Bombyx mori: one gene and its partner. The protein of the gene in region 2 interacts with the protein of the main gene of each other region in a pairwise test. Links are inferred from orthologs where the notes say so. Each region holds a gene or a part of one and is shown on either strand. Other genes may lie near its edges.

Region 1 (11,327 bases), on a different chromosome or scaffold from region 2:
GTGGAACTCTTGATCTGATCAGACAATGTATTTAATATGTGCTGTGAGTATATTAAGTTGCTTAAGTTGTAATTTCATATGTTAATAGTAAATAATGATACTTTAGTTTTATTGTTTCTTTTTACGTTATTAAATTTTTTTAGTTATTACGTTTTTTACTGATGATAGGACCTCTTGTGAGCCCGCAGTGGTAGGTATGCCTATTTCTACTGTAAAGCAGTAATGCGTCTCGGTTTGAAGGGTGGGGTAGCCGTTGTGGCATACTGAGACCTTAGAACTCATCTAAAGGTGGGTGGCGGCATTTACGTTGTAGATGTCTATGGGCTCCGGTAACTACTTAACACCAGATGGGCCGTGAGCTCGTCCACCCATCTAAGCAATAAAAAATAAAATTATTGCGCATTAGGTATTCACTTGTGGCTTGTTATCGCATTTGAGATTGAGCACGAATAAAATTTTCAAGATCAATGTGAGGCTGGAAGAGTTTAAGACTGGCATCCCGTTAAAACATGAATTTCCTTTGTTGTTGTCTGCATCTGTGCAAATATTAATGGTTCTCCTTCGAATCGTCTTCATAACTGAAATATTCTCGAAAGTTAATTCAGAGCACAGCCCTCTATGGGTGACTTGTGCTTGAAGACTGGCGTAGGTTGGCCCTCAAAAGTTGGACAAACGACTTGTTGAAGGTCGTGCAAATCTTCTGGTTACGGGCGACACAGGACAAGTCATTGTGGCGGAGGACCTTGGCCCATGTTCAGCACTCATGTCCTTTTTTTTCCTACCTATGCTGATAGCCTTGAGAGGCTATTTCAGCTTCGCCTTGACGTGTAGGTGAGCTCACGGGTCATAAACTGGGAATATTGCTAACACTTGCCCTAGCAAGTGCAGTGCTTCGCAGAATCTACCACCGGATCGGAAACTCGACCCACTGAGAAGATCCGGCGAGAAACTCAGTGGGCTGTGTCTATGGGTTCGGCGCGGACGGTGACCGGGCACTGATGTGATGATGTCTATAGGCCGATGGGATTGAGATGGTCTTGATTTTTTACAAAAGTACCGCACTTTTTTACAAAAGAGATCAGGTCTAATAACGTGCGGGTAACGGTATATTGCGGTAGTAATTGTCACAAAAAATGTAGAGCAACAAATCCCACGCATTATGCATATTTCCTTCACGTTCATATCTGTTCTCATATTTGAAGATCCGACAATAATAACAAGAGTCAGTGCCGATAATTGAAGAAAAATATAAGAAAATAATCATCACGTCTCCGTCTCAGCGGTTTCTTCTTGCGCTACCTTTCTCTTTCGGTACGCGGGTGCGCGAAATATGCAAATTAAAATGTATTACATATTTTCAAACATTGTTAGGAAAACCGCGTGCATAAACAACAACATTAAGGTAACCGGAAGACAAACACCAAGTGAATTTTCTAACTCAAAGGAGCAATTTATTATCCTAGCACATAGGTATTATAAATAAAATTAAGGCTAGCAATCAGTTCTTATTACCGTAATAATAAGTTTTAAAATCGATCATTTGCGCTTTAAACGTAACATTGCAAACGCACATTACAAACAGATTTCAATACTGCTGGACATTTTGGTATGTACACACAAAACGACAGCTATTTCTGTTGTTTCATTGTATGCAGCATACATTAGGTTATCACAATGTTAGCTCAAAGCGCAAAGACGCTACATAATTAATTATAAGCGTAACTACATTGTCCACATAAATCTCAGTTTCTAATCAAAACTAATGATAAACATTCAATCATCGTAATAGGTGAATTAATTAATTAAACAGTCCATAATCGCGTCGTAAAACAAAGAATCACAAGATTTGAATAATGCACTTTTTATTAGCAGTAAGAAGCGTATTGCGAGTACGCGCGAGCGGGTGCCGCAGTCCCTCCTTTTGCTCCGGTTCGAGGGCGGAACTTTGATTCTTCGATTTCATGTTCTGATGTCTACAAGCTTCTGGTTACAAGGTAACCAAGTCGGCCACGAGCTCGCCGCATAGTTTAGCGCAATAAATAAAATACGAAAATAAATTCACAATCGACCCGTTTCAAGGTTTTATATCGATAATTGAACGGGAACTAATAGGAATTAATCCATGCGACCAGTTTGAGCCGAACGCTTGAAAACTTTTCCATCAGAAAAACAGGTCATAGTAAGGAAAAACAAAAAGTGTTACAATTTTTTTCCATTCAAAAAGAAATCACTAAAAATGTTTTTTTTTATGTTAAATCGACTAAACGGTGAAACTCGAATAGTATAAAAAACTAAATTTTACCTTTCGTAAGCTAACCACTACGCCTATAAAACTTACTTTATTTACATTTCGTTTTAGGACACCAAATACTAATCGATTTTATTATTAATAACAAATATCCTTGAAATTCGAGTTTAGTCTTTAAACTCAGTTTCCTAAATGCTTTTATTTCGATTTGATCACGTACATAAACCCCGAGATCGAAGCCTACAGTGTGCTTAGTGAGAGTTTTTTAACGTTTTCGATAACGTAGAAGTTAACTCAAATTTGTATGCAAATTTGCCTACGTTTGCCGCTAGGGGCGCTGTTCCAACTGCAAACAAATGTGAGCTAACTTTTACGCTATCGAGAACGTTAAAAAACTCACACTAAGCATACAGGTCCAGCCTACTACGAGCCTCTAACTCTTTACATGCAAACATTTACGAACGAAAAAAAAATAAAGCAGCTCTCGATATCAGAACCATAACGTCGGATCTACATTTTGCGACATCATCATTATTCGTATTCAATTTTGAATATTGTAGTTTTAGTACTATTTCAAAAAATTATATGTTATAATGGTGGCATTATCGAGTGCTACAGTAGATTAGGACATACATACATAAGTGTCCGACATTATGCATCTATGTCGAGTTATTTTTAATTAGTGTTAATCAATACCACTTTACGCGGCTAAATTAAATAGGGTCTTAATTCGTACGTCTCTATGGGTATCAAGAAGGTCATTTTTTTTCAATACAGGCACAAGGTTGCATGCTAATCAGCCACTTGTTGAAATAGTTTTGAAATTTAAATTTGAGTGCAATTTTATAGAACAAATATTTAAAAAAAAACTATTCTTATCACGACCATTATTCGATTCGTTCTTACTATTAAGTCAGTACATAAACAAACTTACATAAACATATTTTTTGTACTATGACTTAGGAATATGTGATACAGGGTAATACAATTTTTATTACTTGCTTAGATGTGTAACTACAATAAAATGACTGAATTAAAACATTTATAGGTATATATATATATGTCTTTCCCAGCTAATTCATTAGGTGTGAGCACTCAGATTAACGTGCAAATATTGTTAACAGTACTACTAAAAAAAAAAAGTTTATTATTTTTGTGCAGTAAATAGATCGGCTAGTAAGATACCGAAATTAAATATCAAATTCATAAAAAAACCCAACTCTTTTTAAGCCTCGTGTTCACTTGTAGAAGACAAACAGACCATTAAAAACAAATGTGCCGAAATAAAGTTAAGAATGAATCTTCAAGCTATGCACATCATAATAATATATGAATGTGTGTATGATGCAACTTTATCACACAAAACTCACACACATCAATACATAATAATAACGCTTCACTTACAAACTACATAGGCTCTCTGTTTCTAGAAAGCGTTCGAAACCGCCACAGAAATACCGATATAAATAATATCTTAGCTAAAAGTATTTGTTTTTTTTTTATGATTATTATTAAATATTTACATGTATAACTTTCAACATTCCAAAAGACAAAAAAATACGCATTACATCTGCTCATTGCATACATAAAAAACGGTGTACATATTTTATGCTTTCAATTAATTTTTAACATTTTCTTTAGACTTTAGGAGACCATTATAATTTCGGACACCTTTATTTTAGATATCATTTTTTTTTTACAACCATAAAATTATTAAGGAAACAATGTTTGATTGAATTTAAACAATTTCATTTCCTACCTCAAAGTCACCAAGCGAGGCTTCATTCATCAACACGAACCCATCAATAAAACGGCAATTTGAAATATTTGCCTATTAAATCATAGTTTGCTTCTTACATTTTCAAGGTATTAGTTATAATTGAATTCTGTCCAGTACATACAATATGTATATATGTTGATTATTGAGAGTTATTATTTTTATCAGTTTAAAAGATTAAATCGTCGAGTTAGTAATTCGCTTTTGTTGTTATATATAACTAACGTAATGTATTTTGTTCAATTAACGAAATACATAACATTGATTTGTCGTACCGATGTTGTACTGTTTTAAAACAAACATTTTAATTCTAATTCATCAAAACATTTCGAGATCAAAATATTTGTAATAGTTGAGAGACGGGTTCAGTATAATGTGAGCTTATAATTTTTTTGTTTGTTTTATAAAACAGTACCGCCATCTGTTGAATATTTTAGTGATTTAGTATAACCGAAAGCCACGTTTAGTGAGATTCCGTCGTCGACGTGCGCGTTACATCATCGTGAAGTCATGAAAGCATCCTCAAACTACTGAGGGAAGTCATAACCTAATTCATAACGTGTAATATAATCGTTCTGAGATTTGGCCGAGGCCTTGTTTCATGAGCGATAGCGAGTTTCGTTCGAATCGCTTCAGCTGCATAGGTAACCTCGGCCCAAAGCGTCTATAGGCTACGTTTTCTTACAGACGATTTTACAGTATGCATCCCCTCTATTTACAATGGTTGATTCGAGCTTGAACCTAGAAAAAAAACAAGATATTGTACTGACAAATTGATAAAGCTTGTTTATTTAGGCAAAGAGTATTATTGTATGGTTAATTTTGACATATAGATTTTAGACAGTTTGAAAAATAGTTTTTTTTTTCTTTTCCTATCTAAGCTGATTGTCTTGAGAAGACTATTTCAGCGTAACCTTAACTAGAAGGTGAGCTCATGGGGCTCAAACCTGATGACGTTGCTAACACGAACCCTAGCAAGAGCAGTGCTTCGCAGAATCTACCACCGGATCGGAAACGCGACCCACTGAGAAGATCCGGCGAGAAACTCAGTGGGCTTTGTCTGTGGGTTAATTTACTCGCCGAGCCCTTCGTTCGCGACGGGTTCGACCAGGGCGATGACCAGATAATTGGTTAATTACTGCTTCGTTAACTGTATTACATTTGGAAGATGGAAAGTCAACTTTAGAATTCGAGGTAATAAAGAAGATATGCACATAATCATATGAAGTGAAATGAAGGTAACAAAAGTGTAATTGATAATGGTTTTTATTTTTATATTCTTTTTATTATCTTTTATATAATTATATTCAAATATACTTCGTAGTGCCTCAATCGATAAACAAAAGACCTAAACTTTTGTATAAAATAAACTTAAGACAAACACAAGGAATGCGTCCGACGGTGGGGACATCAAAGGGAAAACAAAATTGTTATTTTTATTTAATTCCGAGCATTTTCATATTTATCTACTTTTTAAACCTTCTCTGGACTTCCACAAATAATTCAAGACCAAAATTAGCCAGATCGGTCGAGCCGTTCTCGAGTTTTAGCGAGACTAACGAACAGCAATTCATTTTTATATATATAGATCTTCTATTCTAGTAAGGATAATAATTTACCATTAGCAAGTCTCAATCGAGATTGTCCTGGAATATGAGTCTGACGTATCCGGGCGAGCCCTGCAGCGGCGCGGCGCAGAACGGACAGATCGCGTGGAAGCCGTTGGTCCCGTGCGGGATGTCCACGTTGGCCCAGTACCTGCCGAGGGAATACCTTTGCTTAAAACTGACACTGACAGATCGAACCTTTAGAATTACACAGACCCAACTCAAAAAATGTGTTTTTTTTAAAACATCGAATAAAGGTTTTGAAACCGAAAAGACGTAGAGGCAGGGGACGGAGTGAAAGAGACAGATGTATAAGTTTGTCCCGTTATAGGCTACTTTTGGTGATTTAATTATTAAGAGTCACTGAAAAGGGTCGGTCGTTCTAGGTACATTTTTGAATTAAAGTCGAAATCCACATATTTCGAAATGGGTGTCTATAATTCTATAGTTGCGACATTAGTTGTTGAAATAAAACATGATTAATTAGGTTTTCAACAGTTTTCGTTGGAAATGTACTTAGAAGAATTATTAGTTATTATCTATTGTTGAACTTAGAAAGTTGAACCCTACTTTATAGTTTACTAGCGACCCGCCCTCGCTTCGTTTCGGAAACATTAAAACACACATGAAACCAAAAAAAAAAAATAAAAAAAATAAATAAAAAAAAGTAGCCTATGTTCATCAGGGACAACGTCGGCTTCTAATGGAAAAAGAATTTTTCAAATCGGTCCAGTAATTTCGGAGCCTATTCGAAACAAACAAACAAACAAATCTTTCCTCTTTATAATATTAGTATAGATAGACTCATGGTGTGATAATTATATCTCTAGTTTATACTTTAATATAATCTATGTAAGTCTGTGATTCTTTTCTTGGTCTATGATAGTACTCTCGCAAATAAAACTACATTTTGTAAAACCGTTATATATATCGAGAGGTTGAATTTAATTGAAATTCAATTAAAAACAACTTGTCGATGCTAATACCAAATAAAACGTACTTTTAATAATTACAAAGAAAAGTATAGCGTATTAAGCGAAACGTACTGGTGGTAGGAGCGTGGTAGGAGCCGGGTAGGTACCCCGCCTATTTCTGCCGTGAAGCAGTAATGCGTTTCGGTTTGAAGGGTGGGGCAGCCGTTGTAACTATACTGAGACCTTAGAACTTATGTTTCAAGGTGTGTGGCGCATTTACGTTGTAGATGTCTATGGGCTGTGAGCTCGTCCACCAATCTTTAAAAAAAATGTTATTTAAGCCAAATAGCCTTTCACTCTTCGCTACGTGTAACACTGCCATTTAGTTTGAACAACCGGTTGTTAGGTTAAACAGTTACACGCACTTGACGGTTCTTTGGGAGGCCATGTGTCCTTGTAGATGTCTATGGGCTCCGGTAACCACTTAACATGAGGTGGGCTGTGAGCTCGTCCACCCATCTAAGCAATAAATCAAAAAGTGGCTTAAACCACATAGTCTTTCATTCTTCGCTATGTGTAACACTGCCATTTAGTTTGGACAACAGGTTGTTAGGTTAAACAGTTACACGCACTTGACGGTTCTCTCGGAGGCCATGTGTCCGCACGGGTTGAAGGCGTACGTGGGCGGTCCCGCGTCCACGTAGAAGGCGGGCTCGATGCCCATGCACACGCGCACCACGGGGCCCGCCGTCAAGCACATCGGGCACCGCCGCACCCCAGTCTCGCTGCCCTCGGCGCCCCACGAGTGCTCCCCTGCAGACAACCAACAACAACTATCACATGCGGGAAACGTACTCAAAGATTAAGCACGCAATCATTGAAAGTATTTAATGACCGAGGTCAATGACCTTCTTTATTTTATTATTATTATTTTTCCTACCTAGCTGAGAGCCTTCAGAGGCTATTTCAGCGTAACTTTAACTAGTAGGTGAGCTCACGGGCTCAAACCTGACGACGTTGCTAACACGAACCCTAGTGAGAGCCGTGCTTCGCAGAATCTACCACCGGATCGGAATTGCGACCCACTGAGAAGATCCGGCGAGAAACTCAGTGGGCTGTGTCTGAGGGTTAATTTACTCGTCGAGCCCTTCGTCGCAAGCGACGGGTTCGACGAGATCGGTGACCGGTGCTTGAAGTACCTAAAAGCACCGTTAGTGGATCGGGAGGATCCGAAATGACGTGTTTGGGGCGACGTCGACTGCTTTCCATTCTGTCCGCAGGATCGGGAATGAATGACATTCGATGTAACTTGCTAATTCATAAAAAAATAACTTATTCAAATACTATGTAACTTTGCCTTTGATTTATATTGGGAAGCAATAGTGTTTTCCGGTTTGAAATCGATACCGAATCGTAAGTATCGATGCAACGGTGTTCGAATCACGCAAGCGGGTAACAATTTTTGTAATGAAATACGTACTTGAAAAAAGTTCACGATTGACTTCCACGGTCAAGGAATAACATCGTGTAATAAAAACCAAACCCGCAAAATTATAATTTGTCGTACTTACTGGTGGTAGGACGTCTTGTGAGTCCGCACGGGTAGGTACCACTACCCGGTCTATTTTTGCCGTGAAGCAGTAATGCGTTTCGGTTTGAAGGGCGGGGCAGCCGTTGTGACTATACTGAGACCTTAGAACTCATATCTCAAGATGAGTGGCGGCTATTACATTGTAGATGTCTATGGGCTCCGATAACCACTTAATATCAGGTGGGCCGTGAGCTCGTCCGCCCATCTTAGCAATAAGTTAGTGACTCAATGTAAAACGTTAATTACATTGTTGTATTTTGGGTTCGGTAATTACTTAAGAGAGGACGTCAATTCGTCTGATCTAGAAAATTTTCAATAAAACAATATGAAATTGAGTATCGCGACATATTCATGTCTGTTGCGTCTATTTCTTAGATGTATCTTGAGGTGGCCAAGAAAATGAATAAATGCGTTTACTTCTTCAAATACTCATTATATTATTTTTAATTATTTTACAAATACAAAATTGAAATGCGCGTCCATCTTTTTTCTTCGTGTTATATTATTTAAAATTTTGACAATTGGTGCCACTATTGCATTTTCTGTTTTGTGATTGGTTCGTGCGATATGACGTCATCGTTGGCCAATCACAGCCATCAATGCATGACGCGACGTTGATTCGTTAACATGTCATTTGTACAAACACTACATTAATTACTTACAACTAGTTTAATAAAATTCACTATCTTATTGTGTAAATAATAGATTTAATATTTCAATATATTAATACTCAAACAGTTGTGACACGAATATCAAAACTTTAAAGATGTATTTATTAATACACTAATTCATAATAGCATTTCGACGTCACCGTGTATTGAGCCGGTTAAACTCAAACAGCACAGTTCAAAGATTGGGTCAATAATAATATTATATTTCCTTATATCTATGTCTATCAGTGTACTTACAAGTTCTTAATTAATGAACATATTAAGTAAATCAGTACAGCGAGACCTATCAAATTTTAATAGTAATATTAAGAGCCAGCAATACCGCTCATAGGATGATGTTCGATTGATCCATTGAATTCCAATTACCCAAATGTCTCGCACCTACAACAACGTCGTCGTGGCCTAAAGGATAAGACGTCCGGTGCATTCGTGTTGAACGATGCACCTGTCCAGCCAGCGGGTATCAATTTTTGTAATGAAATACGTACTTAAGAAATCTTCAGGATTGACTTCCACGGTGAAGGAATAACATCGTGTAATAAAATCAAACCCGCAAATTTATAATTTGCGTAATTACTGGTAGTAGGACCTCTTGTGAGTCCGAACGGGTAGGTACCACCACCCCGCCAATTTCGGCCGTGAAGCAGTAATGCGTTACGGTTTGAAGGGTGGGGCAGCCGTTGTAACTATACTGAGACCTTAGAACTTATATCTCAAGGTGGGTGGCGCATTTACGTTGTAGATGTCTATGGGCTCTGGTAACCGCTTAAAAAAAACATGTATAGTCGTTATGGAACATATACTAGATTACTTATATTTTCCGTCACCCAATACGAAACGCGCGATGGTGTGGTGCTCAGACGCTCTCATGTTGCGATGACCAACGTAGCGAGATATATACTAGTGCACCGGCCTCACCTTGCACGTGTCCGCAGTTGAGGTACACGTAGGGCTGGTTGAGGTCTTGGTGCGCGGTGGACAGCTTCCGCGGAATGACCAGCGTGTTGAGTCCGACCGGGCACTGAGGCCGGCCGGCGTTCAACTCGTCCACTAGAGCTTCTAAATCGCGTTTTGTCTGTACGTGGAAAAACAACATTTCTAGAAATTTCGTCAAGGAAAAGTGTCGATGTTTTTTTTTCTAAAGGTAATTTAGTAAATGTACCTTCTATCCAATGTGTCTTTACTGACCTAAAACTATCACTTTGATAAAATCATTTCAATCCATAGCTTCGTTTCGTCGCGAAAGAAGGACAAACAAACAAACATACTTTTACATTTCTCATATTAAAGTATTGTTTACATACACATTTAATACGTACAATAAATATAATAGCCTGAATGATGATTAAAATGTTAGAAAATTTAAAATTTAGTTAAATTAAAAATGAAAAAAAAAGATTAATTTATGATAGTAAAATTAGATAAATGTACCGGTGAATTCTTCAGTCCCTCGGCACTCCTCCACAACAATGTGGCTCCACACAGATCTATCATTGTCCCATCTCTGAGTACATTTGTTTCTGCCTGGCACGGCAAGCCCTAAAAAGAAACAATACATAAAAATGTCATTTTTATTTAAACTATTACCTTAATAAAGCAAAATCTGTGCGCTTAAACTTAAATACTTCTGTATCGCGTTAACGGAAAATTCTCGAAGTTCATAATCCAAATGATGTTAATCAATTAGCGCCACCACAATGTAAAATTCTATCACCCAATTACATAAGGTCTAGATTTAAATTGCATCACACATGACTCCCTTCTATCATTCCCATTAGTATTAAAGGTGGGCGTTATGTAGAAAGTAAGCAGTCAGATAATAATTGCAACCTCAACATAACAAATCAGAAGGGAACAAGTAAATATTCATTATATCAAGTAATTCGGTAAACTAAAGCTTGTTAAATTAAGGTTACGTTGGTACGTACCATTTGTTATAAACTGGTAAAAAAATATATTCACCTCAACATTACGTACCTACTCATCTTTTTCTAGCGAACAACTTCTACTAATGATTAATAATACATTTTTTTCAAATTACTGGATGTATTTTCTATTTAAAAACAATTAGGTACGTAACAAATTCTGTCAAACCTGACGCGAGACTGGTTCACATACTATGGTCATGTTGGTGGGAAAGTTATTTATAGGCTTTGGGTTGACAAAATTCGTTAATTAGAGAGAGGTACTTAAACTTTTTTGTAGTAGTAGAAAATTCGTTATAAAGAGGTTGTTCGCAAGAAATCTTCGCAATGTAAAGGCATATTTTACATTGACTCTTATGGACATTTCAAGGGGACAACGAAGAATTTGTTAAATCGAGGACGTCGTTATATTGAGGTTCGTTATATTAAGGTTGCACTGTAATAATGAAGATATGTCTGATGCCGATGATAGTGGTGACTGAATTTATAGTTGATAAATCTAAAAAGCATTAATGAGAGCTTCCAAGGAATTTTGTTTACAGAACACCGTTGCGACAGCACCTGACGCAAGACACTCGCGTGAAACTAGATCTT
Region 2 (12,389 bases):
CGGGTCAGCTAGTAAGAATATAAAAAATCACCTCAATCCTTTTACTGGGACCGGAGAAAAATGAGAAAATTGGTTTTTCTCGGTTTAGCGGTGTGATCTATTTAATTAATCGATTACAGGATTATAAAAAGAAAAACATTACATTAAGTAATGAATGCAAATTAATTAAATGAGCGATTTATACTTGTTGTATACAAGTGCGGTATACGGCGAATTTAATTGCGATTATATACATAAATAAAGAAAAAGTCTATTATTACTTAACAAAGTAATATGATTATCGATTTCAAATCGATTAAAATCAATTGTATTTTTAATGACAGCTTTGATTTTTTTTTAAGGGATTTTATGTTCTGGTAACTAAGACCTTTAAGTCATGTCTTATTTTCATTTATTTTCTTATTTTTATGAAAAATGATGAAATGAAATGAAGATGATTAATTTGAGACATTAATGAACTGGGATGAAATCAAATTAAATGAGATGAGATCATATGGGATGAAATATAATCTCAGTAAAATGGTGGTCATCTACTGAGACTTTTTGGAGGATCCCGAGAAGTGACAGCCAGCGGCTTTGTTTCATTTACCCACATTTGTGCACTTTCACAGATATTAAACAGTTAATAAACCACCATTATTACACATTTAAACCCGAAGAAACACTAAATAGACAAAAGAAAACAAATCACACAACTTCACTCCTCGCGTTCCCGCCAAAAAGTCTGACAGCTTTGACATGACGCTTGTTCATAGATTATACACTTAATATTTGGGTTTTGGCGCTTGTTGGTTTTTTCTGCTCTACTCGTTTTGTATTTTCGAAGCGTTTTGAGTGTGTATCTATATAGCTGTTTTTATTTATTTTCAACGATCACTGCTTTATTATTACGGATTCCAACCCTGCCTGCCTTGTACGACAGTTGCTTCTACACTGGACACCGAAGATCGCTCACACGTTTGACTTGAAATTGTTGAATTGGATACTGTTGAAATTATGGATCACTGTGTGAATTGTGGGATAGCAATTAATCATAACAATTCCATAGGCCGTCGACCCTTGGACAGTGTTACAGTATTATACGGTTGGATTATATTATATGGTTGGACCCTTGGACAGTATTATATGGTACCTTAGCTGGTTTAGGTACATAACAAGATAATATTGTTCCCCCTGCACTCACTCTTCCTGAACGGCATTTTAATAATAATTGAAGGTACAATACACTAGGTATACAATACGTTGTGTTTTATTTTTTTCGAGGCCTTTTAGGTAAATCTATACCTGATATAGATAATTAATATTCATTCATAATATGACATTCAAAAGATTATCTAATGGATATAATAAACATTTACTTATGCTTAAATAAGTTATTATTCAGCTCTTTTATAGAGATTGTAACATAACCTAACTTTTACTAAATCTTTATTAACTCGGCTCTCAGATTGAGAAAACTTTTAGAATTTTCAGCAAGGTACTGATAAATCTGAATCTATTAATTCATATTAGTTTCATCACGTTACATTCGGGCCCAAAAATGTATGTAATTGTTTCAGTCTCCTTTGTATATCTTCAGTACTGGGTGGTAGATTGGAGTTTTTGGGACTATAATCTTATACAGAGTATCTCACAAGGGGAGTACAATCGAAGCACGGTTAGTATCACTGATGCAAATCATATAAGTAAAAAAATGTAAGGTGTAATTATTAATGTATATCTATACTAATATATAGATCTACAGTGGTTTTACGGATGTTCCGTTATAACTACTGAACCGTGCATCCGATTGACTTGAAACTTGGTATCCATGTAGAAAATACATGTACTTAATGAATAGGCTAATATTTATATGAGTGTTGGACTTTCTACACCAGTTGCGGAGGCGTTAATAATGAGAATCTTTGTGGGAGGTGAGAAATAATAATGTTAATTTTAAATGCCCAGCGAAGCGGACGGGTACAGCTAGTCTATATATATAAAAATGAAATGTTGTTCGTTAGTCTCGCTAAAACTCGAGAACGGCTGGACCGACTTGGCTAATTTTGGTCTGGAATTATTTGTGGAAGTCCAGAGAAGGTTTAAAAGGTAAATAAATATGAAAATGCTCGCATTAAATAAAAATAACAATTTTGTTTTTCCTCTGACCCGTCGGACGGATTCCTTTTGTTTGTTTTAAGTTTATTTTATACCAAAGTTTAGGTCTTCTATTTATCGATTGACGCACTACGAAGTCTGCCGGGTCAGCTAGTAGTTTAATAAAAACAACTCGTGCGAACTCGACATACGGCCCACCTGATGGTGAGTGGTCGTCATTCGCCATTAAGTATGGGCACTCAATTACAACCAGTATTCACAAGTTGATTTCCGATACGAATAGGCATCTTTTGATGTTTTTTTTTTTATTGCTGATATGGGTGGGCGAGCTCACAGCCCACCTTGTGATAAGTGGTTACTGGAGCCCATAGACATCTACAACGTAAATGCGCCACCCACCTTGAGATATAAGTTCTAAGGTCTCAGTATAGTTACAACGGCTACCCCACCCTTCAAACCGAAACGCATTACTGCTTCACGGCAGAAATAGGCGGGGTGGTGGTACCTAACCGTGCGGACTCACAAGAGGTCCACCAGTACCACACAGGTACCACCAGTGAATGATGTACTTGAATGGGACTTGATGTACCCCTTGTGGAACATCCTGTTTATGTAAAACATTATATAAAATTATGTCCTGAACATATTCACTTTGTGTAGGCATTTTTCGTGATGCCCCAGGGCGAGCCTGCACGACGCGACCGTGGCAGTGTCCGCTATCAGTAACACAATCCGTATATGTTTGCGCGAGGTTCGTTCGACAGAGAGGCACTCACGGTGCTGGTGCTGGTGGCCGAGCTCGTGTCCGCGGAGGGAGAGCGCCCGTTGAGTCCGCTGCTCGAGGGAGCCTGCCTGATCCCCTGTAATTCCAAAATCAAATCAAATAAGACGCTTATTGGAACTACTTGCGCACCACTCGAGATGATAACATCGCGCAGCACGGACAGACTGACGCGCAATAACGGCTATATTCTCTTATAAATTCCGTCGTGTGAGTCATTTAAATTTAGAACCGACCCATAACATCTTAAGGTAGCGTCAGAACGCTATTTCGACAAAGCGGCTCGACACGATATCGTGGCCGCCGCTAGCACCGGTCACCGTCCTGCGAGCGAACTGACCCATAGACATAACCCACTGAATTTCTCGGCGGATCTTCTCAGCGGGTAGCAATTCCGATCCATGGATCTATCCAGCGCAGCTTTGCTTTTGTTAGGGGCAGTGTTAGCAATTTCTCTCAGGTTGAGCCTTGGATGTTGCAAAAAAGGGGCAGGCCAGATCTAGGCCCAGAGCTGCACAGTAATCTGGTTACACTAAAAAAATATATTAATATTTATCCTAGTTCTTCCTTGTATTCATTATTCTGTGCAAGTTGGTAAAAATTTTCCAAAAATATTAAACATTTAACGACTACGCTTGGAAGGGTACCATACATTACCGTACAAATGTTTCCCCGACAAAAAATATGTTGACAGAAAATTAACTGGAAAAATAATTTAATTTTTTCTATCATACATTATTTCACTATTCATTTTGTGAAAAATATATATATAATGATAGCATTGATTAAGTTAAAGTAACTATTATCGTTTTTTTTTTGTTTTTTATGGCAACACCATTACTGCCTTGATAGAAGACGGAAATCTTAAATGTCAAAATCATTGCTTGTTTTGCAACTGCCTTGTGACTGTTTGTGTACATGTTTATTGGTTTAAATCGACAGCTTTTACCTATACATACGGTTACTTACGGTAGGATGCTGTGCCCTGTGTACTGTGTGTAATATTTTCCCTCCAGCTCAATTTTTAGATGATGTTTTGGTAGTATGATAATGAAATTGATGAGTAAATCTGCCATGTAATGTGTTTTATTTCATTTCTAATAGATTTTAGTTCTAAATAAAATAAAACAATAGATAAACTAATACAGGATTTTACATACAGGACATTTTATATAACATGTATTGACGAGAGATAAAATTATTGAATAACTTTAAAATGCCACCTTTTTTCTACATTCCTTTTTTTACTAATTAATTATTGCCGTTGTCTGCTATTATTATCATGACTGTATAAATGTGCACTGTGGGCCTAAATTACTATGGCGACCTGGCATTCCCCTTTATCTACATAAAGATTTGCGGTATTTAATTTTATACTGAATTATGACACCTACTTCAAAATAAATTCAATGTATGCTAATGAGAATGTTTAATGTTAATTTGCGATTGATGTTGTTTTCCTAAAACCAACTTTGACGCATCATCCCCCTTATTGATAAACTAAAGTCATGGAAAGGTTAGTTACCTGATCAAAGAGTATGACCGGGAGCGGGACGGAGTCGCTGCTGGTGGTGGCCCTCTGCGCGCCGCCGGTGCGCGCGTCTGTAACAAGCGTACCGGGTGCCCTAGCCTTGCGAACTCAACGTTTTAACGCTCTTAGTGACAGTTGCACGGCGGCAGATATAGGCCGAACCGTGGCAGGTACCCGGGCCGACGCACAACACTATTCACATTTATGTTTGCCTTAGTTTCTTATTCCAATATAGTTTAGTTGTTAAATTTATTTTTAATTACAATGAGCCCGCACGGGTAGGCACCGCTAATAAAAACCCACATTCTTATATCTATGCAATAGAATAATTAGCTATCACAAACTTTAAGACGCCATACTACTATACTACACACAGCAAGTTGCACACGTGGCAAGAACCGCCGACAGTACAATAATTTTATAACATTGGCTAACGTCCTGACCGCACTCACCCATATATAAATAAATGAGCATTTTAATATTAACGTTTAGTCGTACACAATCCACAGGACAGCACATCGCGAGGTGTGTTATTCTTATCAATTGTAATGAAAAGTTCTTACTGTTGAAACTTTTATAAAATATAATTATCTGTAGTAAAATAAGTAAAGAATTTTTTTACTAAGTCAAACTAAAAAGTAGGAAAAGAATATATATTTTATTTTAATATTCCAATGAAATTTGAATTTAAAATACCTATGTACTGTTTTGTATGTACATTTTAACATTCGGATACTTAAATCTCCGACTTCTCATGCTATATCCAATCAACTCGACTGGGGTCAATCTACAAACTTTAAATATTATTCTGTAATTTTATTGAACTAGTATACTGACTGTTTCCATCCTGTCCGTTCCCCGCCTCCAGCTTGTGTAGGAGTCTATGGAACCTCTCGTGCACGACGCCGGTTAGCCGCCTCATGGCAGGAATGTGCTTCATGCGGTACAGCAACACAAACAGTTCCTCAATTCGATGGTTCTTCTGCCCCCAGCACTCCAGGAGGTATTCCGTTGGGGATATGCCCTGATGACGAGCCTTCTCTTTTATTTCCTAAATAGATAAACATACATTACAAATTAATTCATTCATCTTTATCATTAGAACTTTATCTTTATCATCTATCATTAGAACACAACTACTACACAAGAAATTCATAAAAAGAGTGATAAACAAAGCAAAAAGGTATGGAGCTTCTTAAGTCCTTCACATAAAAAAATGTACCCATCAAGTATATGATTTGTATCATGTGTATCATCATACTTGATGTGTACCCATCAAAAATGTACACATCAAGGAGTAGAGAACTACCTGCCCTTTGAGGATCAATATATGGTGCTGTTTTCTTTTTTCATACTTATAATTAAATATGTAGATGTTTTGGCCTACATAGTGCAAATATTATGATTTCCATATTTTCATCTCTAACTCCAACATCTCTCATCTCTAACCTCAATATAATATAATATAATAATATTTTATACCATTCATAATTTGTCAATTGGGAAATATAAATTTTTTTAGCATTCACATGTAAAACATATATGATTTCATAACAGTGAAAGTTGAATATTAATGAACTTTCACAAAATGTTTTATGCAAATATTTTGTAACACTAGTTGTATTATAGGTCAGATTTCATCCAGTTCTGGATCCATCAGTGCTTGGAGATCATACTCCAAGCAAATTCTAGTAAACAATTATTAGTTTAAGGAAAACAATTACGTACTAAATTTATTAGTCAATTAATGACATATGTCAATTGCTATGTGAATGAAGGAACTACATACATAGGTTTGAAATTGTGCTCCTCACAGCAAGAATACTAAACTTATGTTTAATTGGTTCAGTAGTGTTGACCTGTTCAAGTCATAGTAATTTCAATTCAATGAAATATTTAATTTGATCTTAAAATGTAGTAATTTTTTTGTGTTGCGATGGAAAGAACAAGTTCAGAGATCCTTGCTGATTCAGGAGCAAAACAGTATTCCAAATCGGTGATAAAAAATGACATCAGTAACGGCCTACTTAAATATAAGACTGATTTGATTTGACTTGTATACTTTTACTGTTTTTATATTGTGCTATACTGTGTTGTGTCAGGAACAGCGAAATTTTTGTTCTTCAATCGGATTTTTCATTAAAGTTCCCTAAGGTCTGCATTTGGGAAATCCCAAGTGATTCTTAGTAATAAATATACTTACGATGACGTCCATCGCTGTGTACATCATGTAATTGCCGGCCAGCTCCTCCCAGTAATCGAAGTTGTCCAAAAGTCGACATAGTTCTTTGTTAATCTCGGGTGGTAATTCGTAAATGTACATTTTCACTAATTATTAAGGACTTTAGTTTCAGTCCAAAACATCACATTGATTTAATTGTGTTTCATTCAGCAGGTAGCGTTTCCTACGACTGTTTATTTATACTATGTGTAATTGACAGTAATTGTGTACTATTGTCTCTGGACTGTTTAAGATCTATGACGTTTTAACTGAATTTCACTGTCATGTAGTGATGGCCGAACTTTCAAATTAGGCAAAGAGTACATTAATTTCAACTGATTCAGGTGAGCCTGAATCCTTTCATAGTCATTTAACAGTTATCTCATAACATAATATTAATCTCAGAAGATAACAGTTACCTGGAATCCAGAACTCGACTCGAATTGAATACTTAGACCGTGTCTTCTTGGTTTCGTTTACGTTAAAAAATTTGTAAGACAATGTCGAGGAATTTCTGCTCCTTTTCTCTGAGCGGTGCGATCAGAAGATTTGTATTGGGTTATAGCGCTATTCACATGGATTGTAAAGATTGAGTACATTGACTATAAAAGTATTTATTATAGACAATTAAAAGACAAACCAAAAGCAACCTATAAAATGCACCCTAACTCTTTTATTTCTTTGTTTATTACCAATCTACCTATACACAGAGCTATTTTTGCCAGTGTCGTGTAATAACTACTCAAGGACTATAAGCAGATAAATTGTGTTAGTTGTGTTGATGCTAGGAATAAACATAAAACACAAATAGAGTGCGCGCAAGATAAGTCTGCACGCTACTGGTTGCGTGCGTACTGCATTATGTTGCCAGCTTGACTAATATTTATTCCTTCGTTTAATGAAGTGATATCTCATTTTACATACTAAAAGTAATTGAGATATACAGAATACAGTTGTTGCACTAGGCTATTTCAATTAGGATATAATAAGGAGATTAAAACGCAATAAAAACCTTGTAAGTTGTTTATTTAATATCATGCAGTATATTTAAATTTGGCATAGAAATGGTCCTGCAGTCAATGCCTTCGATTCGGACATTTTCATCAGAAGCCATACTAGACTTTACACTTCTTGTAACTGTAACCTATAGGATGCTTCTTATAGATGTTCTACTGTATTTAAAATTAATATCAGTTTTTAATTCCAACCAAAGTTTGTTTATTGTAGGGATTTCATTCTTCTCGATATCAAACAAATATAATATTTTATGTCTTATAGCAGACTTATCAAAATCATCTAATTCAGAAATCTTGTTCTTCCCGTTTCTTGCTTTTAAGAAGAGAACTACAATTGAATAATTAACAAATAAATCGAGAAAAATGCGGAACTTTTAAAGATTTGGTAGGCCCAAAAATTACGTTGAAATGGTAATATAGGCCCGTTTTTGTCTCGTTCTTCTTCGCAAGCACGTTTAACCTGCTAAACAATATCCCTGCTAGCACTTTTAATCACTTTCGGCATAATGTTATAATCAAATCAAATCAAATCAAAAAATTTTATTCAACATAAATGAAAGTACATACTTGTTGAACGTCAAAAGAATTACCGCCAATTCACAAGAATTAGCCTCCGTCCTGAGAAGAATTGGCAAGAAACTCAGCGGGCATGTTTTTTTTTTTTTTTTTCATCTTCTTCTTCTTTCATCATCTTCATCAGAGCTGAAGACTGGCCGTCGTCTAGTCCCGATCTTAACCCGCTGGATTATGATTTATGGTCAGTTTTAGAGAGTACGGCTTGCTCTAAACGCCATGATAATTTGGAGTCCCTAAAACAATCCGTCCGATTGGCAGTGAAATTTTTTCCCATGGAAAGAGTGCGTGCTTCTATTGATAACTGGCCTCAACATTCAAAGGACTGTATTGCAGCCAATGGAGACCACTTCGAATAAGCTTTTTATACTTTAAATTATTTTATATCTATGTATTAAACTAACACACTGTAAAAGTAATAAATGTTATTTGCAATAGATTTTTTTATTTTTTTATTGTAACAGTATTTATGGCCAGACTAAGTAGTCGCTGGTTTATCTTCTATTACTTTGGTTTAGTTGTTCTCTTTCTATTTACATTGCTTATCTTCAATATACAGATTTTTTTTTCCTTTGTCTCAGTATTTATGGCAAGACTAGGTATATTAATATATGGATTAGAATCAGATGAAGTCGAATTATTTGATCCAATTGTTTACAGTTGGATTGAAATTAAATAATGGTGGTTTTACTGGTGGCAGGACCTCTTTTGAGTCCGCACGGGTAGGTACCACCACCCTGCCTATTTCTGTCGTGAAGCAGTAATGCGTTTCGGTTTGAAGGGTGGGGCAGCCGTTGTAACTATACTGACACCTTAGAACTTGTATCTCAAGGTGGGTGGCGCATTTACGTACCAGCTATTGTGACCTATCAGCTCGAGTGCTAGTAACGAGGATGAGCCATGCTGACCGGAGATTCGTGAACTTCTCAATAATTGGATTCACTTTCTCAAAGTACACATCAACTGTAAGGCTAGTATCATTTGGTAAGAGGCTATGGTGAATAAAGAAGGCACTAGGCCACCAAACAGTAACCATGACTGTTTCGTCGTTCAACAGTAGTAAATTTTCGTTTTGTACAGAACTGGGACTAATTTGGAGTAAGTGATTCTAACTTGATTTTTTTAATGAAAGTTAAAGGTTACCAAAAATCGAGTCGTCGCGTCACTACTGGAATGAGTGTCAAACATAACCGGTTGCCAGACCTCTTGAATTCCCTAAATTCAGTTGTATTTTCCAAATATACATGTCTTAATAAAGAAAACTTATTTTATTAAGGTTAAAATAAAAAAATGTAAAGATTCAATTTAGATCGATCGTTCATATCGACGAAGTACGTCCTCAGGTAGGACATCAAGCAAATATCATCACATGATTGATACGGAACGGTAAAGCGAATTATTGCGCGCAACATTTTTTTTTAAAGTGGAGTATCAAAACAGACGTGTTCGATGTAAGCTGATGTTAATAAATAATTGCAAGACTTTAATAATTTTGTGAATTTAGCTCACATCAGTAATTTTATTCACTATCTAATTAAGGGCTCGAAGCAGAGGAGCAGTCTCCTAGTTGCGACCTGACTAATTATGTTTACAGTATCATAAGTGAATCAATATGTTTGAATGACTTTACTCAATTTGCTTTACTCAATACGGTGATCTATAATTAGGGGTTAAAGTATAAAATTGCCGATTTGTACTGAAAAATTAAAGTCGTTTTTTTTTCATTTAACATACTTATTTTATCAAAATATCTACCATTATTATCTATACATTGCTATCATCTAATAGGAAGGTCATTTATACCTTTGCGATAGAACTCTGGTGATCTAGATTCCATAAACTGTGTGAAAGCATTTTGTACTGCCTCCTGGGAAGAAAACTTTTTATCACGTAGAAAATTGTCCAAATCACGAAAAACGAAAAAAATGGTAGTCCGTTGGAGCAAAGTCACAATTCGATCCAATATTCCTTCATTTCTGTATCGATTCAACAAGGCAACACAAGTTTCAACACGCGTTTCTTTCTGCAGATCAGTCAAATCATGAGGCACCCATTCTTCATATTTTTTGATTTTATTGATTCGACGCAAATGAGTCAATATTGTTGTTAAGGTAATGTTAAACCATGCCGCTAATTCCTGGGTAGTTTGGCTCGGATCGGCTTCCACCATCTCTTGCAATTCATTGTTATTCACATGTGTGATTCACACGTCTTCCACGTGGTACATTCTTCAAATCAAAATTTCCATCATGAAAGTGTTTAAACCAAAATCGGACGGTGTGTTCATTAGCAGTCCCTCTCCAAACGTAATATTGATATCGCGAGCTGTTTCTGCAGCGTTAGTTCCGCGTCGGAAATCGTATTCAAAAATCACTCGAATTTTCGAAATATTCATCTTTCTTGTCGAAGCTGAAATAAAAAAAAAAACAACTGAAGTCGATAGGTAATCGAATGTTGCGCATTTTTTAAAAGAAGAACCTCTGTACCCTTTGAGAAAAGTTTCACTCAAAAATTTTTTTTTATTGCTTAGATGAATGGACGAGCTCACAGCTCACCTAGTGTTAAGTGTTTACTGGAGCCCATAGACATCTACTACGTAAATGCGCCACCCACCTCGAGATATAAGTTCTAAGATCTCAGTATAGTTACAACGGCTGCCCCACCCTTCAAACCGAAACGCATTACTGCTTCACGGCAGAAATAGGCAAGGCGGTGGTACCTACCACCAGTAATTACGCAAATAAAAATTTTGCGGGTTTCATTTTTTTTACAAGATGTTATTCCTTCACCGTGGAAGTCAATCGTGAACATTTCTTGAGTACGTAATTCATTAGAAAAATTGGTTCCCGCCTGCGGGATTCGAACACCGGTGCATCGCTCAACACGAATGCACCGGACGTCTTATCCCTTAGGCCACGACGACATTCAAAATTCTCAAACCATGAAGGTTCTATGTCAATTCGAAGTACCTATTAGTAATAGAACGGCAATTTCATACTTTAACCCCTATTATTATAAAGCTGAAGAGTTTGTTTTTTGTTTGTTTGTTTGTTTGAACGCGCTAAAAAATTATTTCAACGTCAGATAGCTCTATAATTGAGGAAAGCTATAGGCTATTCAACATCACGCTAAGACCAATACAAGCGGAGCACCAATAAGAATGTTTCAAAATCGGAGTATTTTTCTCTTTCGAGAGCTTTCGCTACGTGCTCTGCGGAAACGGTTAAAGTTTGACTAAAATAATGCATCACAAAATTGTTGCCCTTTAAAAGTTTTGAAAAAAAGTCCGCCACAGCATATGTCTATATTTCAAGGTTGGCTCACTATAACGTTTTATATGTTAAACAAATTTCTTGTTCTGTTCTGTTTGTTGTTCTAAAATAAGGCATTTTTTGTGAAAGTGTTTTTATAAATATTAATATCAAAAAATATTAATCAATATAAAATATTAATCCTTATCCAAATAAATACGTTAAATGTTACAACATTGAAACACCCGCATTACATCATTCCCGATCCTGCGGATAGAATGGAAAGCAGTTGACGTTGTCCCAAACACGTCATTTCGGATCCTCCCACTAGTTAAGGTTACGCTGATACCTATAGCCTCTCAAGACTCAGGTTAGGTAGGAAAAAAAAACAAAATCACTTCAATATAGGCTTTGACAATTATATGGTCGAATTGATAGCTTCCTCTTTTGAAGACGGTTAAAATGCGTGATTTTGGTACCTTAAATAGTTCCTTAACATTCAATTATTCAAAAATATTTTCACTTCGTACGTAAATGAAGAGACGGGTCAAATTTAGCGTTTTGCCAAAGTAATTATTCCACGCGGACGAAGTCGCGGGCAAAAGCTAGTCAGATTATATTACGTTCTTTATTTGTGAAGGACATTTATTTATTTTGCTTACCTAATCGTTGTTAGCCTAAGGGGCCATTCCAAAACACGCGGGCGGGTAGGTGAGCTCACGGGGCTCAACCTGAGAGACCTTGCTAACACTAACCCTAGCAAGAACACTGCTTCGTTGAATCTACCACCGGATCGAAGTCGCTACCCACTGAAAAGATCCGACGAGAAACTTAGTTTGTTGTATCTATGGGGAAAGTCATTGGCAATCAGAAGTGCAATAGCATAAGGGTAATAATTTTTGTTTTTTTTATAGCCTTC

What was found.
Region 1: the proteins of serine/threonine-protein kinase pelle (region 2) and protein pellino interact in a two-hybrid assay, tested with the Drosophila melanogaster proteins (2 studies listed by BioGRID). The link is inferred for Bombyx mori from reciprocal best matches to the Drosophila melanogaster genes pll and Pli.

What each region holds. Positions count from the first base shown.
Region 1 is NC_085131.1:9,106,215-9,117,541, reverse strand, and holds the end of protein pellino, read right to left. Parts: intron 10,348-11,327; coding exon 10,240-10,347; intron 9,884-10,239; coding exon 9,727-9,883; intron 7,360-9,726; coding exon 7,179-7,359; intron 5,784-7,178; coding exon 5,657-5,783; 3' UTR 5,645-5,656; intron 4,767-5,644; 3' UTR 1,426-4,766; downstream 1-1,425. UniProt on the Drosophila melanogaster protein: Scaffold protein involved in the Toll signaling pathway via its interaction with pelle/pll kinase.
Region 2 is NC_085132.1:11,570,527-11,582,915, reverse strand, and holds the start of serine/threonine-protein kinase pelle, read right to left. Parts: upstream 6,868-12,389; 5' UTR 6,733-6,867; coding exon 6,613-6,732; intron 5,461-6,612; coding exon 5,247-5,460; intron 4,481-5,246; coding exon 4,404-4,480; intron 2,958-4,403; coding exon 2,874-2,957; intron 1-2,873. UniProt on the Drosophila melanogaster protein: Plays an essential role in the Tl receptor signaling pathway that establishes embryonic dorsoventral polarity; the signal directs import of dl into ventral and ventrolateral nuclei, thereby establishing dorsoventral polarity.